Linked DNA regions of Macaca mulatta. The protein of the gene in region 1 purifies or fractionates together with the protein of each later gene. This does not show direct contact. Links are inferred from orthologs where the notes say so. Each region holds a gene or a part of one and is shown on either strand. Other genes may lie near its edges. The genes, in order: INSRR and HSP90AB1.

Evidence for each region.
Region 2: the proteins of INSRR (region 1) and HSP90AB1 purify together in Homo sapiens (affinity purification with mass spectrometry; 3 studies listed by BioGRID and IntAct, with this or other methods). This does not show direct contact. The link is inferred for Macaca mulatta from reciprocal best matches to the Homo sapiens genes INSRR and HSP90AB1.

The regions. Positions count from the first base shown.
Region 1 is NC_133406.1:110,077,195-110,080,998, forward strand, and holds part of INSRR (insulin receptor-related protein), read left to right. Parts: coding exon 1-109; intron 110-2,283; coding exon 2,284-2,522; intron 2,523-2,922; coding exon 2,923-3,090; intron 3,091-3,226; coding exon 3,227-3,422; intron 3,423-3,627; coding exon 3,628-3,669; intron 3,670-3,744; coding exon 3,745-3,804. UniProt on the Homo sapiens protein: Receptor with tyrosine-protein kinase activity. Functions as a pH sensing receptor which is activated by increased extracellular pH. Activates an intracellular signaling pathway that involves IRS1 and AKT1/PKB.
Region 2 is NC_133409.1:137,866,791-137,871,162, forward strand, and holds the start of HSP90AB1 (heat shock protein HSP 90-beta), read right to left. Parts: upstream 2,901-4,372; 5' UTR 2,801-2,900; intron 1,402-2,800; coding exon 1,255-1,401; intron 643-1,254; coding exon 436-642; intron 333-435; coding exon 173-332; intron 1-172. UniProt on the Homo sapiens protein: Molecular chaperone that promotes the maturation, structural maintenance and proper regulation of specific target proteins involved for instance in cell cycle control and signal transduction. Undergoes a functional cycle linked to its ATPase activity.

The DNA.
Region 1 (3,804 bases):
GCTTCGTGTCCAACGTGACGGAGGCAGACCGCATCCTGCTACGCTGGGAGCGCTACGAGCCACTGGAGGCCCGCGACCTGCTCAGCTTCATCGTGTACTACAAGGAGTCGTGAGTGCCGGGGGCGGGGCCGGAGCGGGGGCGGGGCCGGACGAGGCCAATTTCTTAGGGACCACAGGCAGGTGAGGGCGGAGCTCAGCGAGGCTATGAAGACCCAGTTGTCTTCAAGGACCCCCAAGTTGTACTCCGTGGTAGGGTCCAGGTCTGGCTCTCTCACCTTCTTCATGCCTCCGTGCCTCGGTTTCCCCTCACCAAGTGAAATGGAGAAGACAGGGCTTCTGAGAGCCCAGGAGAGCCATCGTGCTGGGAAGGCTTGGATCATTAAACTTCAATTCATTATGCTAATGTTCTACACTGACCACACGCTCCTGCCCCAGCAGCGGTTTGGGGAGCGCCCACTAATTTGGCCAGTTTTATGAGCAGCTCTGCCAGCATTTCATTTAAGCCTTAGGAAGGGAGGGAGCAGGGGCCGCCAGGGACCACACTGCTCTTTTCTTTGGCGAGAGTCAACTGACCCTAACAGTAAGGATAGTGGTTAGACCACAGGAAGGACTTCTCCAAAAACACGGCTAGGAATCAAAAGGAGACATCCTTAGAGGAGGCAGATGGATTTCGAATGTAGACTGAGAGAGCAGGAGTAAGGAGTTCATACTCTCTCTCTCTCTGATAGATAGTATAGAAGATGGAGGCCACCTGGCTTAGAAGCATTTCCTGTGAATTAGAATGGAGATAACTTAGCTGACCACCAGCTCAGGGTCTGGCTTGGGAGGACAGAGGAAGGAAGTCAGTTGTAGGAGACCCACTCAAATGGCCAAGACTCTCCTAGGTCTCAGTGGTAGGTGAAGGTCTCTAGCATGGGCAGCTGGAGAGTTTGTTAAATACAAATTCCTGGGCCTCACCCTCACTAATTCTGATTCAGTTAATCCTGAGTAGGGCCCAAGAATCTACATGTCTAATAAGCTCCTAGGAGATGTTGAAGCTGCTGGTTTGTGGACTGCACTCTATGGAGCACTGGCCTGACTACAATGTGAATCTCCCCTGGCTCCCCGGCTTGGGCACTTCACAATCGGCACAACTATACACAGCTGTCTCTGGGCTCAAAGAGCAGAGAACCTTGGGAGTCCTTCAAGAAGCTTCCCTAACATCACTGCCTTGCAGTGTGGCTGCAGCTATGCTCCCTCAGAGACACACACTGCAGATCCTGCCCAACCCTGACTCCAAACAGACCCAGACCTGCTCAGTGTGTCATGCCTCACAGGACACCTGCTCCCATGACACCCACTATGAGCCCCTGCGCACCCCTCCCCAAGATGCTCCTGGACTATCCTGCTTATAGGTCCCAACAAAGGCAGGCACTTCCAGCTGGGCCACAAGTTCCCCCATCACCACCCAATATGACCTCCCTCAAGTTTTGTCCCTGGCTCGACATGAATTCCATCACCCCCTTCCCAAACCAAAGAAACAAATATCATGAACATCAGTGTGATGTTCCATTGTCTCCCGTGGTCTATTCTGCTATCTCCCATGTGGGTCCCACTTTCATCTCCCCCAGGGAGCCCTCTTCTACCCCTAAAGCCAGTGATGCTTCCCCAAGCCCTGCCCCGAAACTGGCCTTCAGGCAGCCAGCACTAGTTGCCTCTGGCCCCTTAATTTCCCTGTGGCAATGGATCTTGGCCTTTTAGGGTCACGGACATGTTTGGGAGCTGTTGAAGCTAGGAACCCTCTAGAAAATCACACATGCACCAAACTTTCCCTATAGTTTGGGAGGCTCATAAACCTCCAAAGTCAATTCAAGGGCCTAAGTGAAGATACTGGGAAGGGAGCAGTCTCCAGGTCCTGGTTCCAGGCAATTACACTTATGGGAATTAGGATAACCTTATTGCTTGCTGTTTCTAGGAGAGGGGACTCTTTCACACACACTTTCTTGTTTTATTTATACAATGCAAGATTTGTTCAATATTCATTGAAGCTAGAGCTCGATATTCCCTGCTAAGGATGAGGAGATACATCATTACAAATTTCCCTGACACAGATATCAAAGGCCGTCCCCTCCCCACCTTTGCCAGGGTCTAACAGGTGGCTGGAGTCATGGCTTTGCCCTCACACGTACTGGAAGAAGGACAATGATAGTCCTGGAGTGATTCAGTGCGGGGGAGGCGGCGGGGAGGTGCCAGAACTTGGGGGTGGGGTTGAATGACCCCTCAGCTCTGGGGATGGGTGTTCAGCCCATTCCAGAATGCCACAGAGCACGTGGGTCCAGATGCTTGTGGAACCCAGAGCTGGAACCTGCTGGATGTGGAGCTGCCCCTAAGCCGCACCCAGGAGCCAGGGGTGACCCTAGCCTCCCTCAAGCCTTGGACACAGTACGCAGTGTTTGTGCGGGCCATCACGCTAACCACTGATGAGGACAGCCCCCATCAAGGAGCCCAGAGTCCCATCGTCTACCTCCGAACGCTGCCTGCAGGTAAGCATTTGGAGGGCGCAAGAGTCAGTCAGACGCCTGCATCCATGAGAACAGGGGAGCACAGACATCAGAAATAGAGAAGCCGCAGCACTGAACACCTGGCCCACAGAGGCTGGGAGGCCAGATGCTTGAGTCCTAGAAAGAAGAGGGGGCATCTGCCTAGGTCCTTGCGGGGCTGGGATTGGGACAGTCCAGAGTCCGTAGTTGAGGGAACTCAAGGGCCTATGGCAGAGAAGGGGAGGACAGAAACAAAACAGTGAGTTCTAGGAAAGCAGAGATGAGGATCACCTATTCTTCGGGAGAACAGGGCTGTTGGACCCCAGAGAGAGGGGCTCATTACTAGACAGTATTCAAGAGGAAGCCCCACAACCCCTGAGTTGCATCCTTCTCGCACTCCTAGCTCCCACGGTGCCCCAGGACGTCATCTCCACGTCCAACTCCTCCTCCCACCTCCTGGTGCGCTGGAAGCCACCCACCCAGCGCAACGGGAACCTCACCTACTACCTGGTGCTGTGGCAGCGGCTGGCAGAGGACGGCGACCTCTACCTCAATGACTACTGCCACCGCGGTGGGCAGGGACGACGCGCAGGCCGGCCGCGGGGCGGGTGGGGAAGGGAAGATGGAGGCGCAGGGCCGGGGCAGATGGGGGAATCAGGGGCGGGTAGACGGCCTGTCTTACTAGTGTCTTCCCGCTATGGCGCCAGGCTTGCGGCTGCCCACCAGCAACAATGACCCGCGCTTCGACCGCGAAGACGGAGATCCTGAGGCAGAGATGGAGTCCGGCTGCTGCCCTTGCCAGCACCCACCTCCTGGTCAGGTTCTGCCCCCGCTGGAGGCGCAAGAGGCCTCGTTCCAAAAGAAGTTTGAAAACTTTCTACACAACGCGATCACCATCCCCAAGTGCGAAGAGCGCTCGCGGCCTGGGCCGGTCTGATGGGTGGGGCCTGTGAGGGGTGGGTCTTGCTGGAAGGGTGGGGTTTGTGGGCGGAGCCTTGCTTGTGTGGGCGGGGCCCGGGTTGTGGGTGCTTTTGGAGGCAGTGCGCGCTGCAGAGGGCGTAGGGATACACACGGACAGGCCTGATAGGGCTACCCCTGGCCTCCCCAGATCCCCTTGGAAGGTGACGTCCATCAACAAGAGCCCCCAAAGGTGAGAAGGACTAGGGCCGTGGCTGAGGGGCGTGGCTTTTGGGGCTGGGCCTTGGCTCTGACTCGCTCTCCCCAGGGACTCCGGGCGGCACCGCCGGGCAACTGGGCCCCTCCGGCTGGGGGACAACAGCTCGGA
Region 2 (4,372 bases), on another chromosome or scaffold:
AATCATAAGCGTGTAACAGGACGAAAGTATATGCAGTTGAGACTTCACCAAATTAATAAAGTATTAGCGGAACTGCTATGAAGAACTGCTTGACAGGATGCTCAAAATTTCTGCTACTGGTGAGCCCACAAAACTCTAACCCAGCTACCTTGTAACAGAAAAGCTAACTTACCATGGTCAGCCCGCACAGTGAAGGAACCTCCAGCAGAAGACTCCCAAGCATACTGTTCATCATCGTTGTGCTTTGTGATCACAACCACTTTCTCTGCCACCAGGTAGGCAGAATAAAAGCCAACACCAAACTGTCCAATCATGGAGATGTCTGCACCAGCCTGCCAACAAGTTTTTGTAAAGTCAAACACAAAATTTAAAGCAGCAAAAAAAATAAAGAACACTGATGAATATGAATGGTGTATGCCTACAGAACTGCAGTACCTGAAGAGCCTCCATAAATGCTTTAGTACCAGACTTGGCAATGGTTCCCAAATTATTTATGAGATCAGCTTTGGTCATCCCAATGCCTGTGTCTACCAAAGTCAGGGTACGTTCCTGAGGGTTGGGGATGATGTCAATTTTCAGCTCTTTACCACTGTCCAACTTCGAAGGGTCTGTTAAGCTCTCATAGCGAATCTTGTCCAAGGCCTGAAACGAATACAAACAGCAACTTACTTTTGCTCTCTCCGAGACAGGCAATTGCTCTGTTGCCCAAGCTACAGTGCAGTAGTAGCAAGGATGACAGCTCACTGCAGCCTTGACCTCCCTGGTTCAAGCCATCCTCCACCCCAGCCTCCCAAGTAGCTGGGACTACAGGCACATGCCACTGTGCTCAACTAATATTTAATTTTTTGCAGAGACAAGGTCTGGCTGTTGCCCAGGTTGCCCTCGAAATCCTAGGCTCAAGTGATCCTCCTGCCTTGGCGTTACAGGTGTGAGTCAACACGCTCGGTCACTTTTGCTTTCTTAAAGCCCGTGTCTTCAAAGAAAATCTTGGTTTACCTCTCTCAGCCTCAAATCTGATTGCCCCTTATCTTGAGGCTTTAGAACTACAGTTAGTTACATGAGCCCACTTTTTCTGGACATAGTCACTTCCCTTTCAAGTTCAAGATGGCCAGAGAATAAGACAAATCTTTTTGGAATAGTTGCAAGTTTACCCCCTTCAATAGTAGTCCCCAACAAAGGCCAAACCACTCCTTTCCTCTCTACGAAGAGTGTCAAAAAAATAAACACACCAAATATAGAAACCACAGCACTTACATCAGAAGCATTAGAGATCAACTCCCGAAGGAAAATCTCCTTGTTGGAATAGAAGGTATTGATGATGAGGGACATGAGTTGGGCAATTTCTGCCTGAAAGGCAAAAGTCTCCACCTCCTCCTCTCCATGGTGCACTTCCTCAGGCATCTAAAATAAAAATGATCATTAATTACAAAACATGAAGGCCTCACATTTTAAAATCCTAAAGGTCATCTCATTTGTTAGGACCTTAAGAGTTGAGACTGGTTTGACCTGAGTACTATCCCTTCCGAAAAGACCGAAAAAGCATTCTCTTAAAAGATCTCAGGCTACACACTAAGTGGGAAGCCTGAAAATTCAGAAGGAAAAAGAAAATAAGCTGAATGTTCTTCAACCAAATGTCACAGAACCCAGCTACTTAGAGTGGTGACCAGCAGTCTCAGCGTCATCCGGTAGTATGGCAGAAACTCATAATGCTGGTCCAACCCAGGTATCCAGAGATCCCAGATAATCCTTACACAAATTTAAATGTGAAAATCGCTACCTACAGTTCTTCATTTGGAGATCAAAGTAACTAGTTTGGCACTAACTTTAAACTGCTCCCCCTGAGATGTCTTCCTAAGACCAGCCCAAGGGCGGGACACTCCTACCCTACACTGCAGGGAGGAATAACCTGGGATCCAGAGGATACCCGCCCGAGGGGCAATTAAATCCGGACAAAGAATCGATAAGCCAAAAGCTCCACTACGACCCCTTCACAGGACAAAATTACAGAACAGGCCCAAACCCAACAGAAGGAAGATGGTGGCCGTAACCACCAGGCCGACACTCGTCACTGCCGGACATGCGTCGGCAGGGACCACGCGAGGAGGGGGCGCCGCCGTGCACCCTCCTTCGCCCCAGCATCCGGGCACTGGGGCGGGGCGCCAGAATCCAGAAGCTTCCAGAACAATCTCAGCTCTAGAGGACGGGCGGAGGAGGGAGCCCATGAATCTTCCAGAACCTGCCCCCCTCCCCAACCCTCCTCCACCGGGACTGCAATAAAGATCTGGAAGGAGGGAGTATGGGGTGCTGGAGACCGAAAGCGCTCCTCCCACACCATGAACCCTCACAGAAACAAAGCACCCAAGGCGGCTTTAACAACGCGTCCGATAAGAGATGTGGCAAAGCCAGTCCCACAGGGCCGTGCTGAGTCACCCGAGCAGGCACCCCCGCCATCCTGCGGTCCCCCTCCGACGCCCTATAGCCGCGTCCGGAAGTGGAGGGGCAAAAATGGCAGCGTCCCGGGCCGCGCGGCCACCACGTGCAGCTGCCCGCCGCGCACTGCCCCAGCCCCACAGCCCACCTCGCTACGGCTAGGAGGAGCCAAGAGAAAGCCCCACCGCCCAAGCACACTAGAGAAAACCGAGGAAAACTCAAGAGCCCTCACCTACCACTACCCTCACCCTATAAAAATCCAGGGCGTTATCCACAAGCCACCCCGGTATCTAGGCTCCCTAAAGGACAGAAAAAAACAAGAGCAACACGAAAGAGCACTAAAGAAGCCTAACGAAGAATTCAGCCTTACCTTGAAAAGAAAAGGCTTACACGTATTAGAGAAGAACGTGGGCTTGCTTTCTGATGACTACCAGGCACAAAACGCTGCGCCGGAGTGACTAGAGAGAGCTACTGCGTGCCCCAAGTCTCCCTATATAAGGCGAAGCACAGAACAGCCGCCCTCCCGTGGATCCCTCCGCCTTAAAGGAGCATGCTTGTCAAGTCCGCACCTGCCGCCACCAGCCCACCTTGACGTCATGGTCCGAAAAAAGGAGGGGGCGGGGAAGAACCCAAGCAACGGATCCACCCACACGTTTGCTTGTGATCACAGCCCCATATCTTCATGTCTAGGACCTGACCCCATCAAGAGCTGGGATAAGGAGTGCTCATTTGGCATATACGGTGTCTCTACGGGCGAGGAATCCATTGACCTCCCTAAAAACCTGTGAGGCAGGAGTCCCCACACCCAAGGACAGAGCCCGGGGGAAACACCTAAAAAGAGCCGAGGCAGCTAACCACTCCGACCGCTGCTCCCATACCCAATCTTCTTCCTAGCATATGCCCTACACATTTCGCATCCCGACAGAGGGACTGGCATTCGGGACCCGACCTTGGTTAGCCCCAGATCCTGACTCTCCCAGGAGCAGAGGAAGGGCGGAGGGTTCGCAGTGTGGGGTATCTCAGCGTGGGGGGAGGGCGCCGGCCGGGGCCGGCGGGACTCTTTGCCGGCATGCGGCGGAAGGCGCGGCGGCGCTGCGGCTTTCCAGCAGTTTCCAGGCCTGTCTCGGCGGTCCCGCCCCCGCCCGCCCCCTCCCCGCGGGGCTCCGCCTCTCCGGCTGCGGCCAGAGCAGGGTTTTTGCAGCGACCCCACCCGGGGACCGGCTCTGACCTGTCGGAGACGACGCGAGTACTAGCCCAATCCTCAGGGATGGGATGGAGCGTTGGGGAGGGATCGGCTGACCCCTCCTTCCCCGCGTCAATCACACAACACCCAAGCACCTGGGGCGACTCTGCGGGCGTACCGTTTTGCACTCTGAGACTGGAGTCGCTACGGGAGGGACCCCCTCCAGCCCCTGCGGCCGCCACGTACACGGAGCACGGGGACATGCGCCCTCCCTACGCAGGCACGTCAAGCCCTTTCTCAAGCTGGTTCGCTTTTTTTCTCCCACTTCCCTCCTGCAGCTATTTGGACGTGGGAAGGAGGGAGTCTCTAGGAGCCACTGCAGGGCAACAGGAGCTCTTGGAGGCCGCGTGAAGACGCCGGCCAGAGAGCGGCTGGCCAAGTTGTTCCCCTTCAGCCTTGGCACCAGAACCCCTAGGCCATACTCCTGGTCAGTGAACTGCGGCCGCCGTCTCTGGCCTGTCTCCGCCCTTTTGCCTGCCCTCCAGTCGGCAAGCTGTCCTTGCCTTTCCAAGGCGTCATCCGAAAGCCTGCTGGACCCACAGCCCCTCCAGGAGAGAATAGCCGCTCCCTGCTCTGTGCCCTGTAGATGTCCATCTAGTCCCCTTCCTGGCCCACCCCTAGGATGCTTGGGAAGAGTTTCCCCACAGCCACCCACGTCGTCCTCCCTCACCAGCCCTGTTGTTACCCAGTCTACATTCG